4 linked regions of the Coturnix japonica genome follow. The protein of the gene in region 3 purifies or fractionates together with the protein of the main gene of each other region. This does not show direct contact. Links are inferred from orthologs where the notes say so. Each region holds a gene or a part of one and is shown on either strand. Other genes may lie near its edges.

The links.
Region 1: the proteins of FBXL5 (region 3) and MMS19 purify together in Homo sapiens (affinity purification with mass spectrometry; 4 studies listed by BioGRID and IntAct, counting the BioPlex papers as one, with this or other methods). This does not show direct contact. The link is inferred for Coturnix japonica from reciprocal best matches to the Homo sapiens genes FBXL5 and MMS19.
Region 2: the proteins of FBXL5 (region 3) and CIAO2B purify together in Homo sapiens (affinity purification with mass spectrometry; 3 studies listed by BioGRID and IntAct, counting the BioPlex papers as one, with this or other methods). This does not show direct contact. The link is inferred for Coturnix japonica from reciprocal best matches to the Homo sapiens genes FBXL5 and CIAO2B.
Region 4: the proteins of FBXL5 (region 3) and ACO1 purify together in Homo sapiens (affinity purification with western blotting; 3 studies listed by BioGRID, with this or other methods). This does not show direct contact. The link is inferred for Coturnix japonica from reciprocal best matches to the Homo sapiens genes FBXL5 and ACO1.

Annotation. Positions count from the first base shown.
Region 1 is NC_029521.1:19,491,358-19,494,923, reverse strand, and holds part of MMS19 (MMS19 nucleotide excision repair protein homolog), read right to left. Parts: intron 3,528-3,566; coding exon 3,441-3,527; intron 3,152-3,440; coding exon 3,077-3,151; intron 2,788-3,076; coding exon 2,710-2,787; intron 2,394-2,709; coding exon 2,255-2,393; intron 1,839-2,254; coding exon 1,684-1,838; intron 1,485-1,683; coding exon 1,406-1,484; intron 1,142-1,405; coding exon 1,016-1,141; intron 714-1,015; coding exon 632-713; intron 285-631; coding exon 187-284; intron 1-186. UniProt on the Homo sapiens protein: Key component of the cytosolic iron-sulfur protein assembly (CIA) complex, a multiprotein complex that mediates the incorporation of iron-sulfur cluster into apoproteins specifically involved in DNA metabolism and genomic integrity.
Region 2 is NC_029526.1:9,722,414-9,726,233, reverse strand, and holds CIAO2B (cytosolic iron-sulfur assembly component 2B), read right to left. Parts: upstream 2,352-3,820; 5' UTR 2,280-2,351; coding exon 2,147-2,279; intron 2,068-2,146; coding exon 1,988-2,067; intron 1,881-1,987; coding exon 1,755-1,880; exon of another isoform or gene 1,737-1,754; intron 1,317-1,736; coding exon 1,271-1,316; intron 766-1,270; coding exon 668-765; 3' UTR 551-667; downstream 1-550. Other genes in the region: fatty acyl-CoA hydrolase precursor, medium chain-like, read left to right, coding at 3,442-3,517.
Region 3 is NC_029519.1:69,533,623-69,537,188, forward strand, and holds part of FBXL5 (F-box/LRR-repeat protein 5), read left to right. Parts: coding exon 1-439; intron 440-2,182; coding exon 2,183-2,331; intron 2,332-3,566.
Region 4 is NC_029547.1:62,725,547-62,729,112, forward strand, and holds part of ACO1 (cytoplasmic aconitate hydratase), read left to right. Parts: intron 1-126; coding exon 127-264; intron 265-2,008; coding exon 2,009-2,078; intron 2,079-2,181; coding exon 2,182-2,365; intron 2,366-3,002; coding exon 3,003-3,142; intron 3,143-3,566. UniProt on the Homo sapiens protein: Bifunctional iron sensor that switches between 2 activities depending on iron availability. Iron deprivation, promotes its mRNA binding activity through which it regulates the expression of genes involved in iron uptake, sequestration and utilization.

The sequences.
Region 1 (3,566 bases), on a different chromosome or scaffold from region 3:
CTGGGCAGCTCCTCATGGGCAGTCCCTGCTGTGCAGGCTGTTTGTGATCTCCAGACACAGCTTCCTCTGTGCAAGCAACACAGCACATGTGCTAGGAATTCCTCAGTGCAGAGAACAGTACGGCACAGTCTCTCTCTTTCACCCCAATACCAGAAGTTAATCCCTTTGCAAGGCTGTCAGCCTTACCTGACTGCAGTTCCTCTCCGAGCCTGGGTACCATGCGTCCAGAGAAAACTTTTGGGTAGACAGGGGCCAGAGATCCAGCTGCTTCCATCGCTGCTTCACTGCCAGGAGGGAAGAGAGCAGGAGGGGTGATGTAAGCAATGCAAACTCTGGGCTGTTTGTGCACCAGCTGCAAAGATCCTGGCCAGAACGTACCACCAGAAATCCATTTCTCAGGATTCTGCTTTTTTCACCCTATTGGCAGTAGAGTCCCTTGCTTTGACAGACCCAGACTTTTTAATTCCAATTCCAGAAACCACATGGCTTATTCCCTTTGCTTCTAGACCCATGTGGTCTTTCCATAGTTCCTTTGCCTCCACCCAGACTAAGCCCATCTCTGTAGCAGAGCCAGATCTCGTTCCTCATCCCAGAGTATGGGTGACTGGAGCAGTGTCAGCTCAGCACTCACCTGCTCTGGGAATCTTCCTCGTGCAGAGAGAGCCGGACAAGATGATCCACAACCAGCTCCAGGTCAGAGGGCGACAGGAAGCCTGGAACAAGAGCCGGAGAGGAATCATGCCCTTGGCCAAAGGCTGAGATCCCAGCGTTCTGGCCAGCATCCTTCCCTCTTCTCGTCCAGGCTATTAGCAATGCAGCAGCACACAAACTCCAAAGATTCAAGGTGCCCAGTACAAGCAGGCAAGATAAATCAAGTGTTCCTGGAGCTCACAGACTGGATAAGAAGTGCTGCCACTCCTCCTGTGCATCCACATGCAGCACAGACAGCTGACCACAGCTCCCAGAGCAGGGCAACACCTCCCCTCTGCCTCCCCAGGGGATGAGAAACACCAACCTTGCAGAGAGCCCAGGACAGTCAGTGCCCTGATCCCAACCAGCTGGAGCTGCACACTGGGATCTGTGAGTGCTGAGAACACCACAGAGCAAACCGGCTCCTGGAGCGACAGCAGAGCACTCTCATCTGGAGACAGAAGCATGGAGTCACTGCCTGCAGCTCACTGTCACGGCACAACCACTGCCACACAGCACCAGACAGACACTTCCTGAGGCCCTGCCAGTTCACATCCAATCACACTAAATCCCTGGGGCAGGCTGCACATGCAGCCACCCAAGTCAATGAGCTTGTCTCCTCTGTCAGCATAAGGGAAGGCAAAGCAGCGCCAGAAGCTTTCAGGGTCACACTTAAGGGAGTCTGGGTTCCTTCCGAAAGACCAGCAAACCTCACCTTCTTCTACATGTCCCCATTTCTGCTGCAACTCCAGGAAACCCAGCAGCATTTCCAAGATTGTCCTTCTCTGGCTGCTCTGCAGGGATACAAAGGTGTAACCCAGCTCTCTGTCACTGCAACATCTCAGCCCAATGCCACAAGGCCAGGGGTGCCCACCCACAGCCAGGGAAGGACACCCACTTTGGTTGATGCCCCCTTCCTCTCACCAAGTTGGACAGTCACAAGGTGCACTCAACCCCGCTGCCTGTGACCGCTGAGCCCAGGGTGCCCCTCACCTGTGAATGCTTGTTGTACTGCTCCAGCAGCAGGGGAAGGATGCTGTGGGTGAGGCGGTGGTAAGTGCGGAGGGAGGCACTTGCTGCTGCCTGCAGGAGTTTGGCACTTGGCCACACCAGCTTCATGTCAGGCTCACAGAGATGGTGTCTGCAATCTGAGATAGGCTGGGTGTTAGCTACACCGGCAGAACCGCCTCTGCCTCACGTGCAGGGCATGGCTGATAACTGGACTACAATGTGCCGCTGGGACACAGCTCTGAGCTGCAGTGCAGCCTCCTAGGCAGAGCTGCTGCCCCCAGCTCCAGGCACACAGCAAAGCTTTGGACATCCCACTGCAAAGAGAGGGAAGCAACTCCACTCAGTTTTTATTTCCTACTGTACCCTCTTCTCCTCCCTCCTACAGCTGATACTCTCTCAGGGAAGCCAACACTAGCTGCCAGAAATAGAAGAAACAGGCTTCAAGGAGAACATGAGGGCAGAACACCTCCCTTTGGCTAGGAGGATGCTTGCAGGTCTGGCAATGCCAACAGGCCACTCTGCTCAGAGACGGGCAGGTCTCCCTGGCAGCTACCTTGCAGAATGCTGCTAAGGAAGGAGTCCAGCAGGTCCTCGGCATCTGAGCTGAGCACAGAACGGGAGAGACAAGCAGAAAGGGCGTGCAATGCAGAGAGGCACTCTGCCTCGATCTTCTCACTCGCTGTCTGGAACACCTGCAGGAGATGCCGTGGGGTAAGCTGAGCTCAGTGCTGACCCCAACCACAGGCTTTACACTCCCAACATGGGCTGAAGAGGCTCAGGCTCCATTATCACTTCCTGAGTGCCTTGAACAAGCACACCCAACAATCCCCCCAGACACACCAGTAGGGGTAGCCTGTCCCCCCCCATCCCCACTTTTCATATGAGCTGTCCAAGGCCACAGGTGGGGGCTGGAGGGAGATATGGGGCTCTACTGGTTTGTCTGTGAACTCCTGCTCAGGAGGAGTCCAGCTGTGCTGGAATACTTGTTAGGGGCTCTGCAGTACTCACCTCCCTGCGCAGGGATGACCAGAGGCTAGGGAGGAATTCCTGTAGCTCCTTCTGCCCATAGATAGCACAGCAAGCAGTCTGTAAAAAGGAGCCAGGAGAGAAAAAACAAAACAAAGCAAAACAAACTTGTGTCATTAGAACAGAGAGCAGGGATGCTGCCCACACTGGCAGACTCAAGCAGGACTACATGAAGCACTCAAAGAGAGGAAAGAGTGATGCAGGCCTAACTAGGATCCTAGAAACTATAAACCAGGCTCTGCAAGTGAGAGACTTTGGCTGCCAGATACAAGAGAGGAGCTTGGAGGTGGTTGGCTTCTACTGGCACTGTCCAGCTGTGGTCTAAAGGGAGCGGTGGATCCCTCCTTACCAGAGTCTGCAGGGAGTCAAGCTTGGCACTTTGCAGGTCTGAATCCAATTTCTCGATGAGCAGAGGGAGCAGGAACTGCAGAAAGAGATGGTTAAGACTCATCCTGCTCTTTGTACCACTTTATCCATGGCCTTGCAGGGCTGCAAGCTCAGCCTCTGCCAGGAGAGGCAGAGGTAGAGAAAAACGTGCAACAGGCAGCACCCTCCACACGCGCAGCCCCAGGGACTGGCAGGACACAAGGAGTACCAGGACATGGGGTGTCCTTGCACAGACTCCTGGTCTCATTTACTTCCTGCAGAGCTGCACTAAGAGTTGCAGTATTATGAAAGGCGGCCTGTGTTCAAGAACCCAAACTGCTACCTACCTCAGCAAACTGCGGCGTGGAGGCCAGTACAGCCCGGAGGCTAAGGATCAGATCTTCTCTCTGGATGCCGTGTGGATCATTGGGGGGCTGGAAGAGAAGTATGGAGAGCACGTCATGAAACATCCC
Region 2 (3,820 bases), on a different chromosome or scaffold from region 3:
CTACATACTATGAACAACCTAAGCATATACTGTTGCTTCTCTGAAAAAGGAAGCAGTGCAAAGTGTACCCATAGGACTGCTGTGTGTAACATGGCTTGGGAGGCAAGTGGTAACATCCAATACGTTATTTACTACTATTATTATGTAGTGGTGAAAGCTAAGATGCGGATTAAGTATAATTTACTAATTCCTCCTCTGTTTGATGTGTAGGTTAAAGCAATCTGTTTGTGACCTACTCATCTTTGTAAAAATCTTGATGTTTAAAGGAAAATCTGTCAAAGTCCAAAATAATCATGAGTATAAAGATTTTAACTGCTGCTTAGCTTGGTATACTTGTGAAACCCAATGTGCAAAAGCCACTTTCATAATGCAGTTTATAGATAGTAAGAAACCTGTTTAAAAACAAGTTCAACCAAATATTCTTTAAAAGTTCAGATAAAAACCCCATCAGTGCAATTATTAGCAAACAGAAAAAGCCAATTTACATTATAGCTTTATAGCTGCCAGCAAGCTAATTTTCTCCATACTACTTTAATTTGTTTTGACGAAGTAATGGAACGCTTCTATAATGTAGTTTTATTTTGCTCATAGATGCATGTAACACTAGCAACATCACTCACATACAAAATTAATACAGCAGAATACCACTGGTTTCCTGATCAGGCAATTACGATCGAGCAGACAAACACTGATTTACCACTTCCAATAAGTGAGAGTTCTCCAAAGCAGCTGCTACACGTTCTTTATCAGCAAGCTGTTTATTAACTGTACAAAAAGAAATACCACAAGGAACCGGTCAAAATATTGGTATAAGAGGTCCTTTTAGAAGCACTTTACAGTGAGTCTCATTGTTGCTGTGGTACTGAGCTACAATCCACAGATGCTAACTACACCACAAAGCTGTGGCCAAAAGTCAATGACAGTTCTGTAGCAGATCTGAAACCAGTAAGTTATTTATGATTCAGCAGCAGGAAGCTGTGCACATGTAACAGGACAGGAAATTTACCTCCAGCTCTCCCCCCTCTTTCTGTGCCTTCCAGGTAAATCAATGACGACTTGACAGCACAAGCTGTCCAAGGAAACATTTAAACTAAGACACTACACACTTTTAAGTTTTGTTATTACATATTCCCATTCTGTAACATCTCCTAGAAGGGGCTGGTTTGCATACAGGTACCAAACAGCTGATCTGCAGGTGGAGGGATCTATCTTTTCTCTAATTTTTAGAGTAATAAAAGAAAACCACACAACAGAGCATTAAAACATTTACCTGCGTGTTCAGAGGCATGTGTTCCTGGTGTTATGTGAACGTCCATCTTAAAAAGCATGGAGAAAGAAAAAGGAGACAAGTCAATAAAACCCTCAAAGATGAAAGTATTTAATTAAGAAAATAGCAAAATAAAGCAACAATGAAAGACATTCCTGACACAGCCAGCTACTGTACCCAGAAGAATAAAACCCAGTCCAAAAGAACACTGCACTCCCACCTGAGTAAGCCTCCGACAGGCAGGGAGGTGAAGCACTGCCATCTCCTGTGCCCTCGTGCCTTTACACCACAACCTCACTCACCTGTGATGCTATAGCACAGAACTGCAGCTCTGCACCAATCTGTTTGTTTAGTTTTTTCCTTGGCCTGGAGTGTTTCCCTCCTCCATAACATGGAACCTAAAGTTCTAGTGGCTTCATTTTCTAATTTAGCTGTTTTCTGAACACCGTCTGTCTCTTCTGCTTTCCAGAGCGATTTTACCACTCACCTTAAACCTCTCGGGCAGTGATCTGATCAGTTTCACCTTTATGGACAGGCCGATGAGCGTTGCCATGCTGCAGTGCGGGATCGTGGGTGTGAACTCCACCACTACGGTGCTCTCAGCATCGTTCACCTGTTGGAAAACAAACAGGCGTGTGGCCAAAAAATAAGAATACAAAAACAATGTAATGAGCAAACAAGTTGGAAACAAATCAACAACAAAAAACAAGACAGTCTCACTTTAACTCGAACTTGCTCGACGACATTCAGCTCCTCCAGGGTCAGGGGATGCTCGGGGTCGTTAATGGAGCGGATGAGATGTGCCGCGTTAAGGAAAGCAGGATGGAGGCCGCCCTCCCCGCATCAAACCCCCCCATCCCCTCCCTGCCGGCAGGATATCAAAGATCTCCCGGTCGTCGATAGAGTCGGGCAGCTCATCGTCCTCCTCCCGCGCCGTCACGGGCCGCTCCCCCGAGCGGCGGTACACGAGCGGGTTGGCGTTCTCCAGCGGCGCAGCGCCCGGACCCACCATGTCTGCGCTGCAGGAGGAGCGGAAGGAGCCCGGACGCGATTCACCAACGCACCGGGCGGGCACGGCTTGTGCGAGAGTGCCCCTGTGTGGGGGAGCGATGGAACAGCACGAAACGGGGCTGAGGCCGGCGGGGAGAGGAGATGGGCGGGGGGTATGGGGGTGTGGGTGAGCGGGGGGTGCTGTGGGGCGTCGAGGTGAGCTCCGTGCTGCGGGGGAGTTGAGTCGCGTGTTAAAAACGTTTTGCTAATACACCTGATACTGATTTTGTTCACTGAGAAGAGGGAGAAAAAGGATAAGGAGGTGATGGCCCAAGCTGCTGAGGTGAGCAGGGGCTGTTATGTGGGATAGCCCAGAGCTCATTTGAGCTGATAGGTCTCACTTCCTGCTTTGGTATTTTGAGGAGAAACTCGTTATGGTGAAAAAGCATCTAAAGAAGAACCAACTGACAAATCTGTGTTTCAAGACAGGGTGAACTTGCATGATGTATCACCCATTTGTGTTGGAGAAGATGGCTTTGCAGGCTTTATGTATCTTCGTGCTGGAGCTTTAATATCTCATTTAATTTTAAATATGCAGAAGTGTTAAAAAACTACTTTGGAAGTTGGAGGCCAGTTCTTGCAGAAAAGCACACGTACCATGCCAATTGTGGTGCAGATATGCCAGCGTTCATCAAACCTTTGCAATAGCTAAGCTTTTTTCTTTCTTCCTTTCTTCCTAGTTATTTGTAATCTGCAACCATGCTTTTTGTTGTGTTCATTTCTTTACAGGAATTGTAAGTCAGTACTTCTGAAACTCTTTGAAATTTCACTGCTTTGTAGCACTGATATTATTCAAAATATGAAGTAGTAAATACTTCAGAGGGAATTGAGGTGTGCGTAGGATTGTAGAATTAAAAACAGATTAATGAGGATAAGACCTTTTATTGTTCACAGTTGATGCGAGGCCAAATCATCCATCATCAGGATCAGGTAATGAATAGGTGTGTTACACTAAGGGATTGTATTTGTATTCCATCTCAGTAACAGCTCTGAAAGTGCTAATGCGGTGCATTTTCAGAAGGGGATTTAGCTGTACTCCCTACTACACAGTCAGCAGAGACCTTTGTACCAGTGTCTTCCGCATAGAGAACAGAAAATAACCTGGAATCCAACCTGGGAGAAAAATGGCTCCTCAAACGCAGATTTCTTTGCTTTATATCTTGTTTTGTGGTATAACATTCATCATTTATGGAACAGAAGGTGAGATGCAAAGTCTTTTGATTTGGATTTTTGATTATTATTTCTTTAACTGCCAATGGGGAAACAAACTGCACTAATAAATTACAGGGTAGTAGTTTTCAAAGGCAGTACTTCTCCTGTATTTGTATTAACAATCTGCAAAAGGATCCTAAGAAGCTCAGCGCAAAAGTGACTTTTTTTTTTTAATGAAACCATTTTGAGATGCTTTTATGAAAATGATAAAAGGGCTTGTTGTTTATTGAAAGGACATTGTTTTGTTGAATGGTGAATTTAAAAAATGTTGATGGTTTTGCCAGTTATTGT
Region 3 (3,566 bases):
ACGGCTCTGAAAACTTCAGTTCTGCGTATGTGTGGATGCTGAATGCAGATGATTTAGCTGATATTGAAGATGCTGCTGAGTGGAGACACAGAAATGTTGAAGGATTTTGTCTTGTGGAGCCAGCATCCCACATTAATTGTTCTGCATCTTGCTGCAGTAGAGACATTTATGGTTTAAGGACTAGAGGGTGGCAGCAGCACTGTGCTTCTACTGACTTCATTTACTGCGGTCACTCATTTTGCTGTGCTGGAACAGCACTAAGAACTATTCGAGCACTTCCAGAGTCCTCTGCACTGTGCAAAAAACCACCAAGGACTAAACAGTCAGAGGAAAAAGACTTGGCCTACTCTGGCAGTGACAAACCAGATGAAGAGACTGCACGAGTTCTTCAGTTTCTCAGTCTGTCTGGGTGTTACCAGATCACAGATCGTGCTCTCAGGTGAAAAGACGTTTCTGAGCTGTTTTGCTGCAGTGTGGTTTTTGTATTATCTGTGTGCTTGGGTTGCTCTGGGTTGAATCCACCTAGTCGCAGTTTAAGCATTTACATTGAGAACATCCAGTATATCTTAAGCAGTCCTTGCATCTCAAAGTATTGAGAATAGCAGATGTGAAAATTTTCTCCCAACTCTTCCTTTGAATGAAAGGATTAAAAAAGTTTCTTTTAGACAGCTCCTCTGAAATGAAGCACTTTGGTAAGTTTGCTTGCAGTAGATAAAAGCCTGACTTATTACTCAATGCCTTGTATTATGTCAGAAATGTGCAGCTACAGCTTCATAATGAAAATGAGACAAGACAGAAATGCTTGCAGTCACTTGCTCAGATGTGCTGTAGCTCCTGGGACTAATTAGAGCTGCTTGCAATTCAAGACTTCGTTCCTACTTGTACTGTACACTTTAGCCCGTGGAGAAACACTGTGAAGCACTGCAGGCACTGAATTGCCTCTCCATACACTTTGACACAGAATTTAGAGTACAGCTGTTCAGGTGTCTCCTAGCAGTTACTCAGGGACAGACAGCTGTGCTTTGCGGCTGAGCCTGATGTTGTCCAGGTGTAGGAGCAGACTGGTACTGCTGTCTGTGGTTTATTTGGCAATGGACAGGTAATGCTGCGTGTAGTTGACATGTTACCAGTGTTATTCTTCACTGAGTCCTATAGAATCAAAGGAAGACTTGATGCTTGAGTCATAGGGGGTGATTAGTTGTGGTCTCACATCAGTGCTTTTTGGTTACAGGGAAATGTTAAGAGTTGAGGGTATATTCTGCAGTAAGTGCTTCTTGCACTTCTGTAGTACTTTGGGTCCCAGAAGAAAAAATAATGAGACTCTAATGTACATTCATTTCATATAAACTGAACTTTATATTGATAGCTGGTTTTGTTAGTTGTTCTTTTTCCTGTCTGCTGACAAGGGAGGGTTTTGTATACTCATGCTTTTAGGACATAAAAGTGAAAAGGCCTTTGCTTGAACCTGGAACATGTTGATTGAAGCGTGAGTGGCTTTGTCTGTTCTCCCCTTTCTGACAGGTTTGCTGTCCTGTGAGCGCAGAGGAGCAGTCAGCCTAACACTGAGTGTGGGGTCAGATGCACTACAGCCTTGAGGCTCCTTTACCTGCAGTTGAACTCCTGCACTTGGAGTGAAAATAGAATTTGGCTTGAATAGTGTGTAGTGCTGTGATGGCAGAGAGAGGCTCAGCTGGTAAAGATTCATCTGACCCAAGGAAATACAAATTTGAGTTTCAAACTGACTAATAAAAACATAATACTCAAATTTTTTGGAAATTTTACACACCAAACTTGCAGTTCTGTTTTTGGGATGTGTTGAGAAATACACATCGCCATGGGAGTCTCACCAGTATCAGTGGTGTGTTGGAGAAGTGTGTCATGCTGGCTCCTAGAAATACTTGGTCATCCCCAGAATCATTAATGAAAAGTGGTTTCCCACAGAGCTGTATTTCTGTCAAAGGGAATTGTTAATTTCTGTAGAGATGGATTCATTTTTCAGCCCTGTCGTGTGGCTTCAAGGCTGATTAACCGTATGGGATGCCAGACTTGAAATTAAGTGGCTTATTAGAGGTGTGGTTTTCTTGCAGGATGTTAGTAAATACGTGACGTGGTGACATACAGGAGTACTTGTCAGCATAGTGCTGTGCCAGCTTTTAACACCCCTCTTTCTGTCTGTTCACAGGGCATTGACTTTGGGAGGAGGACTGCCACACTTGGAGCACCTCAATCTCTCGGGTTGTCTCACTGTAACTGGTGCGGGCCTGCAGGATTTAGTTTCTGCATGCCCTTCTCTAAATGATGAACACTTTTACTACTGTGACAACATTAACGGTAATGTCTTTTTATGAAGATGTGATCCTTGTCTGGGGAGTAATGTCTGGCTTAAGGATGTTTAAGAAACAAAGAAAAAAATCCCACCGCCAAAAAAACCCCAACACGCTGCAGCACTGCCAAAACCACACAAACTAAAAGCCTGCAAACTCTTTTCTTGGCTGCACAGCACTGAATTCAAGTGCTAGTTACAGAATCAGAACTGTTATGTCAGGTTGGCTTTTTGTATTTAAGTTTAATGCAGTTCTGTATTGCCTAGGGGGAAGGCATTCTTGGTCCATGTTCTCTTACTTTCTAAGCCTCTATTACCTATGCTAATCTGAAGTAAGTATATAACTGATACATGGTTGTCTTCTTCATCTCTTCCCTGTAAATGATGTTGAGTGCTTTCTTTATGGTGCTAAATCAAGAAAGAGCTGTCATTAGATTTGTAGCTTAGTGATTTTTTTGGGGGTGATGGAGAGAGGGCAGAGCTGGTTATGCAAACCTCACACGTTACAGTGGTTTGGGTGTAGAATACTATCATGTGTCCTTGTAGGAAATGTAACTTGGTCTTTCTAGCTTTGCTTGAATTACTTAGGGTTGAATGTTAGCTGGAGAAGGATCTGGAGAAATGCATAAAATATGTTTGTGGTGGAAGTCTTAGCGTTCACTGCAGCGCAATCCAGTCTTATGTCAGGTCCAGTAAGCATTCATAGCATTAGAGATGGGAACCACGGTGTGATTTTATTCCATGTGTGAACTTAAAACAGGTAAGTGCAACAGAATGGAAAGGAAGGATAATTGGGTTCACAGGGCTATAAGAACTGTGTGTAAAACAATATGGTATTTCCCTGATAGTTCATGGCAGTCAGCTCAGTTGGCATCTGTACTGAGCTGTAGCCACAGCAGCTATACAGGATGCCACAGCTTTGGTACTGTGAGTGAAACTGTACCGATGCTTGGGTATTCTGTCCATTGAAAGTCATGTGAGGTGATGTGCTTTACTGGACTGGATCCTTATGTTACAGGTCAGAGTATTAAATCATTTTTGCTTCCATAATTTTTGGATGACTTCATGGACTTTTGTGACACATTGATGCATTTCTGGTTTGTTACCTGGTTCTTTTCCTTCTTGACTTCTAAAATCTCTCCTTGCATTTCAATCTGGAAACTTTTATACCTTTTTAAAATCCTTCACTGACTCTTTCCTGCATCAAGTTGAACTTAATGTCTTATATGGAACCCTTTTCCTC
Region 4 (3,566 bases), on a different chromosome or scaffold from region 3:
CTTAGGGTGAGGCCACAGTTTGCTTCCTGTGTGGTTATATGTGCCTGTTCTGAGTCTCAGGGTTTAGACTGAGTTTGTTTTGCCTTTTTTTCTCCTTACACATTGCCCAATTATCTTCTATTATAGTGGGGTACCTGCTGTTGTTGACTTTGCTGCAATGCGTGATGCTGTGAAGAAACTTGGTGGGGATCCTGAAAAAATCAATCCTATCTGTCCAGCTGACCTAGTGATAGATCACTCCATCCAGGTTGATTTTAACAGGCGGTAAGGATACAAAACATCTCTTAGTTCTTAATGTTAGTAAGCTGGTAATGTAATTGTTGATATTCTATGCCTTTGAACTACAACATTGTAGAACCTGAGAAGTGATGAAGTTAAAGCATTGTATCAATTGCTGTGAAGAAAATAGAAATTTTATTCTTTCTGTAGTGCCTTTCTTAGCAGCGCAAGCCTGGACTGAATGTTAATAGAAACAGGCTCAGTCCAGACCTATAGTGATCAAAGTTTTCCATAATAATACTACATTGTTATTAGTTGTTCAAAAATAGCTTTTTTTCCACTTGCACTTTTAGACCTTGTGGGGCTTCCTGGAAAGGATAGGAAAGATTGTTTCTTTCCTTCCTTATTTGTGTAAGAGTGGACCTGAGCTGCCCTGACTCAGCTGTTTGCTGATTCTCTGCCTCCACAGGAAAGAGTGCAAGATATTGATTAGTATGACTGCTAGAAGTATAGGAAAGAAGTACAGTGCAAGCTGATTCTGAAAGTGCTACAGGCAGACAAATGTTCACTAGACTCGCAACTAAATCTGAGACCTCTAGAGAGGGTTGTTCCTTTTACCCTAATATATAAACATGAGCCTACCCAAATACTCGTTGAGGCAGATCCTGCCATTGCATGTTTCCTCGTGATTTCCTTCTGCGTACCAAACTTCTGAAGTTTGTTGGTCTGCAGTTGCCTTGCCTGCATAAATGCTCTGTATTTATTGTCCTCTGTAAGAGATAGTTTTGAAGCAGAGCTCAAAAAGATTTCAAGTAGAAATTAAAGAACGCAATGAACATTTTAGCACTGCCAATATTTTAAGGGCTCTGCTGAATAAAATTACTTTGCTTCTGGGCAGAGATGTAACACAGAACTTGTTTCAGAGCGGAATGTTGACGGAAAGTTTTTACATGTAACCTTTTTCTTCCTTTCTGTTTCATAACTGATGGGAGAAAAAAGGCCAAAAAATTTTGACATGCACTCCAGTCAAAAATAAAGTCCCTTTAATTTTTTGTAGAGGTGTTATTGTGAATCCTAACATTTTAAAATTTGTAACTGACATCTGTATCATTTTTATTAGATCCTTGGGAAGTAGTGCAATTTTTTTTTTTCCACTTTCACACTGTTTTGATCATTTTTTTCTGTCTATTTTAATTACTTTCATTTTATCAGTCCTATTCAGAACTTACATATCCTTTTTTCTAATAGTTACTTTTTGTCCCAGCCTTCTTTTAATTCTAGTAGGACCCTTGTATATGTGGAGAGAACACTGGCCAGTCCTGTGCTTTAGTTCTTTCAAACTCTTCATCCTTAGGTTAGGGAGCTGGTGTAAGTAGAAAGTTTATTAACCCTTTCTGTCTTAAACCACAGGGGTAGCTATTGCTTAATGTAAGCTGCAAGGTAGTTGTGTTCCAGTTCCCTTTTCTGCTTTTCTGATTTCCTTGTGTTTATTGAGGCCTTGAAAACTTCACACTGCTCTAATGTCTTATCTATGTTTTCCCAAAGTACAAGTTTCAAGACAGCCATCTGTATGATATGCGGACTAGTGCTCAGATTTAAACTAAACTTCTTGAATAATACAAGCAACATTGATTACCTTTGTTTTGCTGCTGTGATGACATTAAAAGCTGAGATTGATCAGCATTAAAATTAGCTAATAACTCTTCTTTCACCATTTGAGCATATTTGGCCATACATAAGTGTCAGGTGAAGCCTTTTGATTGTGACAGATGATTATTTTCATTTTCAGATCAGACAGCTTGCAAAAGAATCAGGATTTGGAATTTGAAAGGAACAAAGAAAGGTTTGAGTTCTTAAAGGTACTGAAGTAGTTAATCTTATTTGCATGACCAAAGATGGAACAAACATAAATTTGTCCAGTGCTCACATGTGTTAAAAATGTTTGACTATTTTTTGTTTCAGTGGGGCTCTCAGGCTTTTAAAAACATGAGGATTATTCCTCCTGGCTCTGGGATCATCCACCAAGTGAACCTGGAATACTTAGCAAGAGTGGTGATGGATCAGGATGGCTACTACTATCCCGACAGTGTGGTGGGCACTGACTCACACACCACCATGGTAGATGGCTTGGGAGTACTTGGCTGGGGTATGTGCAGTAGCTCACAGTGAATAGTGTGTTGGCTGATCAGTATTCTTTAGAACAGTCTGTATGCTTCAAAATTATAGAAATGTAGAATAGCTTGGGTGAGGAATGGACCTTAAGGATAAACTAGTTCTTACCCAATTTCATGAGTAGGGAACAACCTGTATCTTTGAGTATAGTAAACTTTCTTTCCTGTAAAACAACTTTTCTGTATAACCAGTAGTTACAATATATTTCATAAACAGCACACCAATGTTCTGTGCCACGTCAGGGTTTTTTTTCTTTATTTATTCATGGCATGGTTAAGTTATTAAATGAAATTTCTACATGCTCACTGTAAAATCCCAAGTCTCATCAGAGTGAGTTACTTAAATTTATCTAATATGCCATCTGATGGCTGAGGATCAAGTCTAAAAGTAGGAAACTGAAACTTATCCTTGCAGGAAAGAACAACCAAAAACCAAAACAGCCTTGCAAAAACTGAAGAAGACAAATATCTGTTCATAGAAGTCTCAGTCCTGTTTTACTTTTTCCCTTCTCTCACCTTAAATCAAGTCACCATAAAATACTTATCTCATGGGTTTATTTGACTCTTTTGTGTCTTTTGGATAGTCTGATGGTTTAATTCTTTTGCTTCCAGGTGTTGGTGGCATTGAAGCAGAAGCGGTGATGTTGGGCCAACCAATCAGCATGGTGCTTCCTGAAGTGGTTGGCTATAAGCTGCTAGGAAACCCTCAGCCATTGGTAACATCCACTGACATAGTGCTCACCATTACCAAGGTAATGAACATGCCTTTTCTTTCTTGTTTTGCTATTATTGCTGAACATGCGCTTTGAGAGCCCCTGTGCTGCACACTTGGAATCTGTGTATACTTCCATGTAGTTGTTTTGGTCCTTCAGACTTAATGCTCTGTGGATTGGAATCAACTACCCAAATTTGCTATGCAAATCTGTTTCCCAAAATCTAGCTAAAATAGAGCAGAGAGCTGATACCTAAAGGCCTGTTTAATTCCTTGTGTTGTAGGCCCATTTTGGAACAGCAGTATTTGTACAAAGTGCTTGATTCTTTATTATCTCAAAATAAACAGAATGGCTCTCTTTTGAAGGTCACACTTAAAGTGAGGCAATATAGAAGCTGAAAACAGTAGGTATTGCAGTCTGAGTTCTTTGATTTATGGGTATTTTGCTCACATGCTCGTAACAT